Linked DNA regions of Lonchura striata. The protein of the gene in region 2 interacts with the protein of the main gene of each other region in a pairwise test. Links are inferred from orthologs where the notes say so. Each region holds a gene or a part of one and is shown on either strand. Other genes may lie near its edges.

Region 1 (7,390 bases), on a different chromosome or scaffold from region 2:
CCGTGCCCCCGAGATCCTGCTGGGCTGCAAATATTACAGCACGGCCGTGGACATCTGGAGCCTGGGCTGCATCTTCGCCGAGATGGTGGGTGGCACTTGGGGACATTGGGGACATTTGGGGACACTGGGGTGTCACACAGCCTGGCTGCATCTTCGCCGAGATGGTGGGTGGCACTTGGGGACACCGAGGGGGACATTGGGGTCCTCAGGGTGACACGTGGGTCCCCAAACCCCCTTAGGTGACACCGGGGGTGACACTGATGTCCCCAAAGCCTCCCTGTGATGTCCCACTGATGTCCCCAACATCCCTGTGATGTCCCCAAATGTCCCCAATGTCCCCAGATCACGCGCCGTGCCCTGTTCCCGGGGGACTCCGAGATCGACCAGCTGTTTCCCATTGTGTCCCCAATGTCCCATTGATGTCCCCAATGTCCCCAATGTCCCATTGATGTCCCCAGTGTCCTGTTGATGTCCCCAAATGTCCCCAATGTCCCCAGATCACCTGCCATGCCCTGTTCCCTGGTGACTCTGAGATCGACCAGCTGTTCCCATTGTGTCCAATGTCCCAGTGTCCCATTGATGTCCCCAATGTCCCCAACATCCCATTGATGTCCCCAATGTCCCCAATGTCCCATTGATGTCCCCAACATCCCATTGATGTCCCCAACATCCCATTGATGTCCCCAATGTCCCACTGATGTCCCCAATGTCCCCAGATCACGCGCCGTGCCCTGTTCCCGGGCAACTCCGAGATCGACCGGCTGTTCCCATTGTGTCCAATGTCCCAGTGTCCCATTGATGTCCCCAATGTCCCCAACATCCCATTGATGTCCCCAATGTCCCCAGATCACGCGCCGTGCCCTGTTCCCGGGCGACTCCGAGATCGACCAGCTGTTCCCATTGTCCTGATCCCATATCTCCAGTGTCCCATTGATATCCCAGGGATGTCCCCAGTGTCCCATTGGTGTCCCCAATGTCCCGTTGATGTCCCCAGTGTCCCGTTGATGTCCCCAACATCCCGTTGATGTCCCCAATGTCCCGTTGATGTCCCCAACATCCCAGTGATTTCCCCAATGTCCCGTTGATGTCCCCAGTGTCCCGTTGATGTCCCCAACGTCCCATTGATGTCCCCAGTGTCCCGTTGATGTCCCCAACGTCCCGTTGATGTCCCCAATGTCCCATTGATGTCCCCAACGTCCCGTTGATGTCCCCAATGTCCCGTTGATGTCCCCAACGTCCCGTTGATGTCCCCAACATCCCATTGATGTCCCCAACATCCCGTTGATGTCCCCAACATCCCGTTGATGTCCCCAACGTCCCTGTCACCCCCCAGATCACGCGCCGCGCCCTGTTCCCGGGCGACTCCGAGATCGACCAGCTGTTCCGCATTTTCCGCACGCTGGGCACGCCGGACGAGGCCGCCTGGCCGGGGGTGTCGGCGCTGCCCGACTACAAAGCCACCTTCCCCCGCTGGGCGCGCCAGGACCTGGCCAAGGTTTTGCCACCCCTGGACGACGAGGGCCGCAAGCTCCTGGCGGTGAGGCACAATTCCCAATTTCCCCTGGCTTTTCCACAGCTTTTCCTTCATTTTCCCTGATTTTTCTGTGATTTTCCCTGATTTTTCTGTGATTTTTCCTGATTTTCCCACAAGTTTTCCTTAGTTTTCCCCAGTTTTTCCTTAATTTTCCCCCACTTGTTCCCAATTTCCCGATTTTTCCCCAAGTTTTCCTGATTTTCCCCAATTTTTCCTGATTTCCCCCAATTTTTCCTTGATTTTCCCCAATTTTTCCTTGATTTTCCCCACTTTTTCCTGATTTTTCCCCACTTGTTCCCAATTTCCCGATTTTTCCCCAAGTTTTCCTTATTTTCCCCAATTTTTCCTTGATTTCCCCCAATTTTTCCTTGATTTTCCCCAGTTCTTCCTTGATTTTCCCCACTTTTTCCTGATTTTTCCCAACTTGTTCCCAATTTCCTGATTTTTCCCCAAGTTTTCCTGATTTTCCCAAGTTTTCCTTAGTTTTCCCGTTTTTCCTTGATTTTCCCCACTTTTTCCTGATTTTTCCCCACTTGTTCCCCATTTCCCGATTTTCCCCCAAGTTTTCCTGATTTTCCCCAATTTTTCCTTGATTTTCCCCAATTTTTCCTGATTTCCCCCAATTTTTCCTTGATTTTCCCTAATTTATCCTGATTTTTTCCCTGATCTTTCCCATTTTTCCAATTTCCTCCCAATTTTTCCCCAAATTTTCCCTAATTTTTTCCATTTCCCCCAATTTTTCCTTGATTATTTTCCCTTTTCCCTCTTTTTTTTTGCCATTTTCCCCTGATTTCCCTCCCATTTCCCCCCATTTTCCTAATTTCCCCCCATTTTTCCCCATTTCCCCCCCATTTTTCCCCCCATTTTCCCCCATTTCCCTTTTTTCCCCATTTCGTGCCCATTTTCCCAATTTCCCCCATTTTTTCCTGCATTTCCCCCCAATTTCTCTCTGCTTTTTTTCCCTTTTCCCCCATTTCCCCCATTTTTCCCATTTCCCCCCAATTTTCCCGATTTTTCCCCTTTTTTCCCCATTTTTTCCCCAATTTTCCCCTGATTTTTCCCCTTTTTTCCCCATTTTTTCCCCAATTTTCCCCTGATTTTTCCCCTTTTTTCCCCTTCCCCCTCCCTTTTTTCCCCATTTCCCCCATTTTTTCCCCGTTTTTTCCCATTTTCCCCGTTTTTCTCCCCAGCAAATGCTGCATTACGACCCCAACAAGAGAATTTCGGCCAAGGCCGCCCTGGGCCACCCCTTCTTCAGGGACGTCACCAGAGCTGTCCCCCACCTGCGCCTCTGACCCCAAAAATGACCCCAAAATATCCCCAAAACCCCCCAAAATTACCCCAACCCCCCCAAAATATCCCCAAACCCCCAAAATTACCCCAAAACCAAGAAAAACGGCCCCAAATCCTCCAAAAACGACCCCAAAACCGTCCCAAACAGCCCCAAAAACTCCAAAATATCCTCAAAACCATCCCAAAATGGCCCCAAACCCCCCAAAAATGACCCTAAATCCCCCAAAATATCCCCAAACCACAAAACAGCCCCAAAACCCCCAAAATATCCCCAAAACCAGAGAAAGTGGCCCCAAAACCTCCAAAATATCCCCAAAATGAGACAAAACGGCCCCAAATTCCTCAAAAAAGGTCCCAAACTACCAAAATGACCCTAAACCCCCTAAAATATCCCCAAAACCATGCAGAATGGTCCCAAACTAACAAAATGACCCCAAAACCATCCAAAATCCCCCAAAACGACCCCAAAATTCCCCAAATTCCAAGGGCCCCAAAACAGCCCAAAAATGACCCCAAATTTACCCAAAATGTCCCCAAAAGTGCCCAAAATACCCCGAATGTCCCCAAAAGGTCTCTAAAACGTCCCAAATGTCCCCAGAATTCCCCCAAATTCCCCCAAATCCCCCAAATTGTCCCCAAATTGTCCCCAGTGCCATCCCCTCCATGTCCCCTTTGTCCCCTCTTCCCCCCTGCCACAGTTTTTGGGGCCGAATTTTGGTTTTTTTGTGATTTTATGGAAAAAATTTGTAATAAAATTTCTGCGGTTTTTAATCCCGGGAAGGTCAGGGTGGCATCGTCACCTCCCCCCCCCCCCTCCGTCCTGAGACCCCCAAAATGTCCCCAAGTGTCCCCAAAACCCCAAAAATGTCCCCAAATGTCCCCAAATTCCTCCGAAAGTGTCCTGGAAACCCCAAAAATCTTCCCACACCCCAAAAATCTCCCTGAAACCCCTAAAAAATGTCCCCGAACCCCTCAAATGCCCACAAACTCCTCAAGTGTCCCCAAAACCCCAAAAATGTCCCGAAACCCCCAAAAAATGTCCCCAAATGTCTCCCCCTGGCTTTCCCAGGCCACGCCCCCTGGTCTACAAACCACGCCCACTCGCGACCACGCCCACAACACAGTCTGAGCCTCTTGATTGGTCCTTCCAAGCCACGCCCCCTTCGCATGAGCTCTCCACACTGTCAATCAAAGTTAGCACCTCTGATTGGGCGAGGCTTCCTCTCTCCCCGCCTTCTCATTGGGTGATGCAGCCGCGCGGCTCCGCCCCCTCCGGTCACCTTATTTGTTGTCCGCCCCGCCTTTTCTCGCGTTTTTTATTTTTATTGGTTGCCAGCCTTGTCACTCACCGCAAACCCCACCTCCTCACCGCCTTTCCCCTTCCCCACTGGCCAAGCTCTCTCCTCTCCTTATTGGCCGCTGTGCTGTCCATCACCCCTCCCCTCCATCCTATTGGTGCAGCACAGCGGGGTGTCCCCCACCTCTTTTCCCATTGGCGGAGCGCAAAGGCGGGCTCTTCTCCTATTGGTTCATTCCGCTGTTAGTCCCGCCCCTCTCCGTGAGGGGCTTGGCGGAGCCGCTGTTTGTGCGCCGGCAGGGCCCGGAGGTACCGGGGGGCGCCGGGGCCGGCCTCGGGGGGCTCCGAGCGGCTCCGAGCCCCGGGGCGAGCCGCGCTGAGGGCGGGGCGGGAGCCACGGGTGCGGATTTGGGGGGGGGTCGCGGCCATGAGAGGGATCCGGTCCTGAGGGGGCTCCGGGCTTGGGGGGCCCTGAGGGGGCTCCGGGCTTGGGGGGGCTCCGGGCTCTGGTGGGGCTCCAGCCCCTGAGGTGGTCCCAGCCCTGAGGGGGCTCCGGGCTTGGGGGGCTCCGGGCTTGAGGGGGCTTCATGCCCTGAGGGGGTTCCCAGCCCCTATGATCCCGTCCCAGTGGGGTTATCCCAGTGTTCTGATCCTATCCCAGTTGAATTATCCCAGTGGGGTGACCCCATCCCAGTGACCCCATTGCAGTGTGCTGACCCCATCCCAATTGGGTTATCCCAGTTGGGTGACCCCATCCCAGGGACCCCATCCCAGTGGGGTGACCCCATCCCATCCCGGTGCTGTGACCCCATCCCAGGGATCCCATCCCAATGGGGTGACCCCATCCCAGTTGGGTTATCCCATTTGGGTGACCCCATCCCGGTGCTGTGACCCCATCCCAGGGACCCCATTCCAGGGACCCTATCCCAGTGGGGTGACCCCATCCCAGCTGGGTTATCCCATTTGGGTGACCCCATCCCAAGGACCCCTATCCCGGTGCTGTGACCCCGTGCCACCCTCTCTGTGTCCCCAGGATTGCGGTGCCATTGCACCCAGCCCATCCCAGTGTTCCCAGTTTGCTGACCGCATCCCAGCTGGGTTGTCCCAGTTGGGTGACCCCATCCCAGTGACCCCATCCCGGCGCTGTGACCCCGTGCCACCCTCTCTGTGTCCCCAGGACCGCGGTGCCATTGTGCCCAGCCCGGCCATGGCCGCCCGCGGTGCCCAGCGGCCCAACGGGCACTCGCAGCCCAGTAAGATCTGCCAGTTCAAACTGGTGCTGCTGGGAGAGTCGGCTGTGGGCAAGTCCAGCCTGGTGCTGCGCTTCGTCAAGGGCCAGTTCCACGAGTACCAGGAGAGCACCATTGGCGGTGAGCCGGGATCTGGGGATCCCACGGGGATTTGGGGTGTCCTAAAGGAGTCTGGAGCTGTCCTGGGTGGGATTTGGGGTGTCCTAAAGGGGTCTGGGGCTGTCCTGGCTGGGATTTGGGGTGATCCCAGGTGGGATTTGGGGTTCAGAGCTTTGTCAGGGGCCAGTTCCACGAGTACCAGGAGAGCACCATTGGCGGTGAGCCGGGATCTGGGGAGCCCACGGGGATTTGGGGTGTCCTAAAGGGGTCTGGAGCTGTCCTGGCTGGGATTTGGGGTGTCCTAAAGGGGTCTGGGGCTGTCCTGGCTGGGATTTGGGGTGTCCTAAAGGGGTCTGGGGCTGTCCTGGCTGGGATTTGGGGTGTCCTAAAGGGGTCTGGGGCTGTCCTGGCTGGGATTTGGGGTGTCCTAAAGGGGTCTGGAGCTGTCCTGGCTGGGATTTGGGGTGATTCCATGGGGATCTGGGGGTCCCATGGGGATTTGGGGATGGTCAGGGTGGGATTTGGGGTGATCCCAGGTGGGATTTGGGGTTCAGAGCTTTGTCAGGGGCCAGTTCCACGAGTACCAGGAGAGCACCATCGGCGGTGAGCCGGGATCTGGGGATCCCACGGGGATCTGGGGATCCCACAGGAATTTGGGGTGTAGGAAGGGCTCTTTGGAAAGGTTTGGGACACCCTGAGGTGTCCCTGGCTGGGTTGGTGACACTGGTGACACTTTGGTGACACTTTGGTGGCCCTGTCCCTGTCCCCAGCGGCGTTCCTGACGCAGTCCGTGTGCCTGGCCGGGTTTGGGGTGCAGTGAGGTGTCCCTGGCCGGGTTGGTGACACAGTGTTGGCTCTGTGGCTGGGTTGGTGACACTCTGGTGACACTCTGGTGACACTTTGGTGGCCCTGTCCCTGTCCCCAGCGGCGTTCCTGACGCAGTCCGTGTGCCTGGACGACACCACGGTCAAGTTTGAGATCTGGGACACGGCGGGGCAGGAGCGCTACCACAGCCTGGCCCCCATGTACTACCGGGGGGCCCAGGCTGCCATCGTGGTCTACGACATCACCAACCAGGTCTGGGGGCTTTGGGGGGTCCTGAGGGGGATTTGGGGGGGTCCCAAAGGGATTTGAGGGGGTTTTGGGGTGATTTGAGGGGGTTTTGGGGTGATTTGAGGGAGTTTGGGGGGCTCTCAGGTTGTATTACCGGGGGGCCCAGGCTGCCATCGTGGTCTACGACATCACCAACCAGGTCTGGGGGCTTTGGGGGTCTCAGGGGGGATTTGGGGGGCATTTGAGGGGCTTTTGGGGTGATTTGAGGGGCTTTTGGGGTGATTTGAGGGAGTTTGGGGGGTCTCAGGTTGTACTACCGGGGGGCCCAGGCTGCCATCGTGGTCTACGACATCACCAACCAGGTCTGGGGGCTTTGGGGCTCTCAGGGGGGATTTGGGGGGCATTTGAGGGGCTTTTGGGGTGATTTGAGGGGGTTTTGGGGTGATTTGAGCGAGTTTTGGGGTGATTTGAGGGAGTTTGGGGGCTCTCAGGTTGTATTACCGGGGGGCCCAGGCTGCCATCGTGGTCTACGACATCACCGACCAGGTCTGGGGGGCTTTGGGGGGTCCTGAGGGGATTTGGGGGGGATTTGGGGGGGATTTGAGGGGCTTTTGGGGTGATTTGAGGGGGTTTTGGGGTGATTTGAGGGAGTTTGGGGGGTCTCAGGTTGTACTACCGGGGGGCCCAGGCTGCCATCGTGGTCTACGACATCACCAAGCAGGTCTGGGGGGATTTGGGGGGTCCTGAGGGGGATTTGGGGGGGTCCCAAAGGGATTTGAGGGGGATTTGGGGGGGATTTGAGGGGCTTTTGGGATGATTTGAGGGGGTTTTGGGGTGATTTGAGCGAGTTTTGGGGTGATTTGA
Region 2 (6,996 bases):
ATTAGTACACACACTCATTACTCATGCAAGCAATTGCGCTGACTTGAAAGAGGCTCTCTGTCACACAGGAACCAGCCTTGAGTCACCAGCTCTTTGTTAGAGACCTCACCACAGAGTCAGCCAGGTTCTAAAGCAGCTGAGCAAACACACTCTCTCTAATACATGCAGATGGAAGTACTGGTGCTCTGGCCAACCCCTTCAGTACTATGAGTGAAGAATTGGAGAGCTGTTACTTTTCCCTGTAGTGGGAAGGGAATGCGTCAGGAACCATTGGTGATTAGTTCAAGCATAGTCTAAAACTACTCTATGCTAAATAGCCCTGCCTTCAGCTGAAAACATATTTTTGCCCAAATCTGCACTTCATAAATCTTCCAAATTTTGTCATACACCTTTCATAGAGTCATTGAGGTTTGTAAAGACCTGCAAATTCATTAAGTCCAACCTTTGACCAAATATTGCCATGTAAACTAAACCGTATCATTTAAACAACTGTGTTCAACCGAGTTTCATAGAGCTCGGCTTGAAAGGAGAAGGCTCCAGAAAAAGATGTGGGTAAATTTGAAAGCTACTTACTGGAAGTATATGGAACAGCACACAGTGACAGTCGAAAGTGTACAGCTGAAGAGCTAGGAAAAAGAAAAACCAGAGACTGATACCTTTTATAAATAGGATATTTAGAAATAACATGTTGAGAAAAATGGGACAGTGCAGCACATCGTGAACCAAAGGAGCTCGTGGCCATGTGATTTTGAGGTCAGCAATTTTACATGACTGAAAATAGTCATCTGTATGAACACTGAAAACATGTAGGACAATAAATAGCCCAGAAACTTGTAGGCTGTTAAGTATCTGCAAGCATATGTACTATGCATATACCACATGTGTTCCTTGCCATTTTCTACCAAATGGCAGTGGTTCCTCGTAGCCCTCAGTTGGGGTAGAAGATTGTGTGAACACCAGTTTTTGTGATCCATGGTCGAGACAGCATTTCATTTGACTCTCTCTCTCTCTCTTTCTCTCTCTCTCTCTCTCTCTCTCTATATATATATATATATATATATATAGCCATTAAAAATGAAGAACAACTCCCCAGAATCTCAACAAAACCCTGCAGTTATCTATTGAAAGATCTGAGAAGTGCTGGTGTACACTGGGCCATCCTGAAAACTGCTTGTACAAAAGACTGATTTCAGTTCTGTACAAAAATAAAAAAAATGCTGGCTTTGACAGATATGCAAGAGTTTGTTGTAGTTCAGACTCTCAACCTTCAGCTTGTGTTTAAAGGATAAGATACCTGTTCCCAGCTGGTTTTGGAAAAACCTTTGCTGTGATTCTGTTCTGAGACTTTCTACTAACAATTGACTCTTTAGAAAGGCACCTTCTAGCCCTCTTGTCACCAAACCCTTAACAGAGTTTATGAACTTGGATGAAATGAAAATTTACAACTCCTATGCCTGAGGATACAGCCTATTTACCAACAGCTGGAAATTCTATTGAATTTTAGGAGAGCACATGATATGAATTCACAGATATTACCATACACACAATAATTAAAACCAAGGACTTCCACTAGAAGTGGGACAGATTTAATTTTTTTTTTTCCTCTAGATCTCTGCCCCAAGGCAGAGATTTTTTATGTGCATTCTCTGGTACATAAAAGCAGCCACACTGCAGTCTTTCCTTACAGCCAGGACTCCATAGGGTTTATCTTCTCCCTGGCTACCTATTTAAATTTGTAGAACATTAGTATCTTTGAGCCTTATCTGACTCTGTTGTATTAATTGGCCCACAGATTAACAAGTTACTGAGGGAATCATGCTTGAACAGGGAGACAGATGCATGTATTCTAGCATCCACACAAGGAAAGGATCATGTATTTCCCTTCAAGTCTTGCTAAGAAAAGCCTCCTCTGATATAAGACTGTTAACTAGTGTCCTCAAATTGCTATCATCTTCCTCTGAGCATTCAGGAATTGCTAACCTAGGAGAGTAAAAAACATTCTACAAAGGGGTTGGTCAAGTTATTTGGGTCTAGCAAATTAAGCAGTCTGGCAGTTAGTTGTGTAGGCTGTCACTCTTCTTGAAATATCTATAAAACTTGCAGTCATTTCTGTTTGGATTCAGAGTAAGTATCTATGGTCTGCCTAAATATTTAAAGATCTGTACAAAACCAATCTTATTCCCATTATAAATCTGAAGTGCAAAATTCCAAAAGACCCTACCTGCCAAATTTCAAAGCCATTTTGTACTATGGACAGATGAAAATTATGTCATGGGTATGACCAAAATCATCGCTTATCAACTGAAGCCATTACCAAGTGTGTGTGCTCTTAATGGGCCTCAGTTGTGGATCCAATGACATTAAGATGAAACACACTGGAACCTGTAGATGGACCAAACTGCATCCAGTCACATAATGCTGCTATGCTTGAAGCCTCCAGCTGCAGCACCAAATTCTTCTGGTCATGTGCTCTCAACACACATAATGTGTGAGGATTTTAGAGTACTTAGAAATGTCAGCTTCTGGGTGGAAAAATGTTTTTGATCTTTACACTACAACTGGTGCTCTGCTGTGATATTTGTTCTAGTCAGCACAATTAGTCATTGACCAAGTTTATTATTTACTCATGACCCTTTGTCTGGTATCCAGCATGTGAAAATTGCAGCTTTTGGACAGAACAGGGAACAGTAACTTGTTGAATTACATATTCTAGATGGTACAGGTATTCCAGTAACTATCCTGCAACGTCTGATGTGGGGTTTTGCCTCAGCAGTAGATACTGATTCTTTCTCAGTTAAAATTGACAGGAAAATTAATCTACAAACACCAGAGGTTTATGTCCAAAAAGGAGACAGAGGAGTCCTTTAACTTTTTTGAATAAAGGGAGACGTTATGGGGCATTCCCCATGGGGTCTCTCAAACTTTTTGGGAGACGCAGCTCCATTTTATCCTAATTTCCTGGCTGCATTTTCCCTCTCTCTTTCCCCAGTGGCCGAGGTACTTGAGAGGTACAGGCTCCATAAGATGAGAAATATGTAAGACCCCCTTCTAATGTATATTTCCCCTCCCATTTTTCTTTTTCATTGTGTCTTTGATTTTTTTCTCTAAATCCAGAGATTTAGCAGTCTTGAGTGGGTAAGTCTGTGTCAATTAGTGGAATTCCTACGGAATTTATGGTTCCCCTCCTTGCTTCTTTCACATCTCTGTACCTGGCCTTATCTACTATCAGGCCCACAGTTTGTTTGTAAATACTTCCTTATCACTCCTTTCAGCTGATGCTTTTTGTGTTGTACTTTTTTTTTTTTTTTTTTTAGGTATGTGTGTATTTGTGTGAGTAAAATGTTCTTTTCTAATATTTAAAAAACACCTAATGGGTCATACCACAAGGTCGTCTTTTCAGCTGGGGGCTTGAAGCAAGGAGCTGCTTCATCAGAATTAAATTTGAGGTTAATAATCGTAACAAGTTCGCTTCGACAACCCTCCCCGAACGCACATTTCTCAGTACTTTCCGTGCCGCACGAGTAACAGAGTAACACGGCGCTGCATTTGCGCTTTGCCTCCTTCAGCGAGCCCGCAGCTGCAAGCTCAAACCACAGTCCTCTCCCTTCCCTCGGCCGATGCCACACTGACGCCAGCAGCACGGGGCCCGCAGCTATCGGGAGCCCGGGCAGCCCCGAGGGGAGCCAAGGGCACAGACAGCGCCGCGTTCCGCTTTCCCCGCCCTGCCCCCGGCAGCCGGGACGCGTCTGGGGCGGCGGAGACCCGGCACAGCGCAGGGACAGGCCGAGAGCCGCGGCGCTGGGCCCGCTGCGGCGAGGAGCCGGGCCCGGGCCCCCGCGGAGCGATCAGGGCGCAGCCCCCGGCCCGCTCCGCACCTCTACCCGCCCTGCCTTCCCCGCTGCCGGCGGCCGGGCGGCGGCGGTGGCCGCAGCCCCTTCCCGCGGGACCCGCCCCTCCCCGGGGCGGAGCGCGGCGGCTGCCCTGCCTCCCCGGCCGCGGCGGCTGTCACGGGGCGAGGGCCGCGCCGGGCTCCTGCGGGGCCCCGCGGCTTCCCTTCGGCCTGGCCGCGGCCGCCCGACGGCATCCGCGCTCTACCACCATGCTCAGGCGGATTCTGCAGCGGGTAAGGCAGCGAGGCCCGCCCCAGCGGCGAGGGCGGCGAGCCGTGCCGGCGCCGTGCCGGTGTCGCTTCCTGGTGCCGGCCGCGCTCGGAGCTGCGCTCCCCGCGGCAGAGCCGGAGCCACCGGCCCTGTCCGGCCCGTCCTGCGGCGCAGGGTCCGGTGAGGGCCGTCGCGGCCCCGGAGGCCGTGAGTTTGTCCGCCCCCGCCCTCTCGCTGGGAGACGGCCCGAGCCCCGACGGGACGGGACGGGCCAGGCCCGCCATCCCGGCTGGGGGCGGTGTCGCCTCCCGGGCTGGGCGGAGGTGCTGGCGGGCGGCTCCCGCGGCCGGGCCTGTCGGAGGGGCGAGGGGCGGCCCTGGCCGGCGTGGCTTTTTCCGTAACGCGGCGGCATCTCCGCCCGCCGCCTGCTCCCGCTGCCGCGGCTGCGGCCGCCCGCGCAGAGGGCAGGATAAAGGGAAGGCCGGCGTGGGGAGAGCCGCCGCCGGGACCTGCGGTGATGTCCTCAGGGGCTGGCAGGCAGCAGGCTCTTAACGCCGAGAGCCAGCCCGGCAGCCGCCGTCCGGCCGCCTCCCGTGTTTTAGGAACCGGCTTTTCCGGCAGCTCTGCCGGGCTTGGGAAGCCAAGTTGTGACACTCGTTTATGAGACCCTTCTCGCTTGCCCGGATCCCTTTGCCGGTGCTGGTCGCCGTGCGGCGGGCCTGCGGCTCGGGTGGGAGCTGCCGGGAGGCGCTGGCACGGGGCAGGTGCCGGCGGGTCCCGGCTCCGTGCGGCCGGGGGCTCGGCTGGGGGATGCACCCAGAAGGGTTGAGTCACGCCGGCCGTGGGCAGGCAGCGCTCCAGATCCCGTACCGCAGGAGAGCGGCGTCCGTGTCACGCTGGAGGCGTTCACGGATTGAGGGAAAACCAGCTGCTCTCCCCGTTTGATCCGCTGTTGCTTCCAAAGCGTGCTGTCTGTGTAACACCTCTGCGACAGAGTGTTTTATTGGAAACGCTGGCTTACTCTCCTTACCTGCCATGCAGAGAAGCGTTGCTACAAGAATGAGAGGGGAAATAAAGTAAGCCTAACACCAACTTTTTCAGTGTAAAACATACGTCAGATTATCTTTTGTTATAGACCCTAAGCAGGTGAAGATCTTGGTATATTTGGAGCTTTGTGTTTACAAGGAAGAGCTTCCTTCCTGAAGCTTAATGGGAAGCCCTGCTAACAAGCAGGAAACTTAGTACGGACCTAATTAAATATTGGCAGCAGTTAACTGGGTGTTTATTGATTCTGAGAAACACCAGGCCATGAAGGAAGGCTTCTGTGAGAGGAAAAAGCTTCATATAGTGCCAGAGGATATTTGTCCCTAAGTATGAATTCAGCTAAACACATCTTACAGACATCACATCTACAGTCAATGCAAAAGTTTCTGTGTGAGAAAAAGACATATTTTCCAAAAGATTGAACTAATAGTTGTTCTCCAGTTGCTCCTGAAAATTACGAGATTACAGGAGAATTTATTGTCAAGAAAGGTGAAACAGACTTCTTCCTGCCTAAAAATTAAATAGAGAAATGTCAAAATTTTTGAAGGTGTAAACTTTTTAATTGCTGAAAATAACTTTTGCCAAAAATAGACTTTTAAAAATTCACCTGATACTAAAAGGGGTTTTAGGTATTTTTGTAAAAATAGTGATTGCATGCACAACCTCGTACACATGTACCATTTTGACTTGCACTCTGGTTGGCAGACTGTGAAAAATACTTCTGCTGTACTTTGGTATTAAAAATGAACCTTAGGTTTATGTCAGATATTTTACTAAAGAACATAGTCATTAATATCTTTCATGTTTCTCATACAGTATTTGAAGAATAAGGAACTTCCTCTTGACCTTTTTATTGTCCATCATTTGTATAGCTGGCAAAAAACCACTGCCTTTCTGTCCCTCAAACATAGCTTCTTGCATATCTGTTTGGTTTGTTATATGTTTATAGGTGATGCCACCCTTTCTAGCCAGAGAGCTAGGCATTAATGGTGATATAACTTGAGTTATAAAAGCATGTTTTTTGAAAAAGGCATTCTTTGTTACATTATTTACATTCTTTATTACATTTTTTATTACTTTATTAGGCTGGCTGACAAGCTGCAAAGGAGGAAGACAACAGCTAAAGATATTATTTATAGTTTCTGATTCCTGAAGTTTCAAATCATCAAATATTTCTTTTTTATTCTACTTCTCTACCTTGATCACCTCTATTTCATCCACAGTTCAAATTTCTGTTTTTAAAAGCATCTTCACTGTGACTTTGAATGACATATTTTCAAAGTGGAAAGTATTATAATGGAAACATTGCTTGTTTAGTTTTTGAGGTTAGTATCTCCATGCTGTCATCACCTAGCTTCTCATTTTACGTCCTTTCTCTACAAGTTCTGAAGTTTTTTACAAGTTTCTAAATTTTATGTGTGTTTTCAACATGACATCTCAGGGATCCGCCTGTTTTGTATGTTTGCACCATAAAACTCCCTTTTGTACATTGTTGCCACGTCCTGGTTTCATGCATTGTTCATTATGCTGATCTAGAAAAAGGTAGTTTTTCCCAAAAGGCATCTGCATGGAGTGTCTGAGACTTACCTTTCCTGCTCAAATAGTTTGATTTTTGTCAGTGGATTCCTTGGAGAGTGGTCTTTTCTTTATTTTGTTCAACTTTGATGCTGTCTGTGGACATTGTGTCATCTCTCCATTGTTAATCTACTCTGAGACAGTGGAAGTTGCCTATAGCCTGTTAAAGCAGAGCTCATTTCTTGTATTTTCAAGGAGGGGGAATTTATTTTCAGCTGGTAGAAAACTGATTACTGTGACCTCCTTCTGAGCCTTCTTCTCATTGCTCATGATTTTT

Evidence for each region.
Region 1: the proteins of EEA1 (region 2) and RAB5B interact in binary tests that used the Homo sapiens proteins (3 or more experiments, as listed by UniProt). The link is inferred for Lonchura striata from reciprocal best matches to the Homo sapiens genes EEA1 and RAB5B.

What each region holds. Positions count from the first base shown.
Region 1 is NC_134629.1:9,330,549-9,337,938, forward strand, and holds the start of RAB5B (ras-related protein Rab-5B), read left to right. Parts: upstream 1-4,379; 5' UTR 4,380-4,433; intron 4,434-5,301; 5' UTR 5,302-5,331; coding exon 5,332-5,494; intron 5,495-6,398; coding exon 6,399-6,550; intron 6,551-7,390. Other genes in the region: CDK2 (cyclin-dependent kinase 2), read left to right, coding at 1-85, 1,334-1,537, 2,725-2,829. UniProt on the Homo sapiens protein: The small GTPases Rab are key regulators of intracellular membrane trafficking, from the formation of transport vesicles to their fusion with membranes.
Region 2 is NC_134607.1:53,447,672-53,454,667, reverse strand, and holds the start of EEA1 (early endosome antigen 1), read left to right. Parts: upstream 1-3,991; 5' UTR 3,992-4,099; coding exon 4,100-4,123; intron 4,124-6,996. UniProt on the Homo sapiens protein: Binds phospholipid vesicles containing phosphatidylinositol 3-phosphate and participates in endosomal trafficking.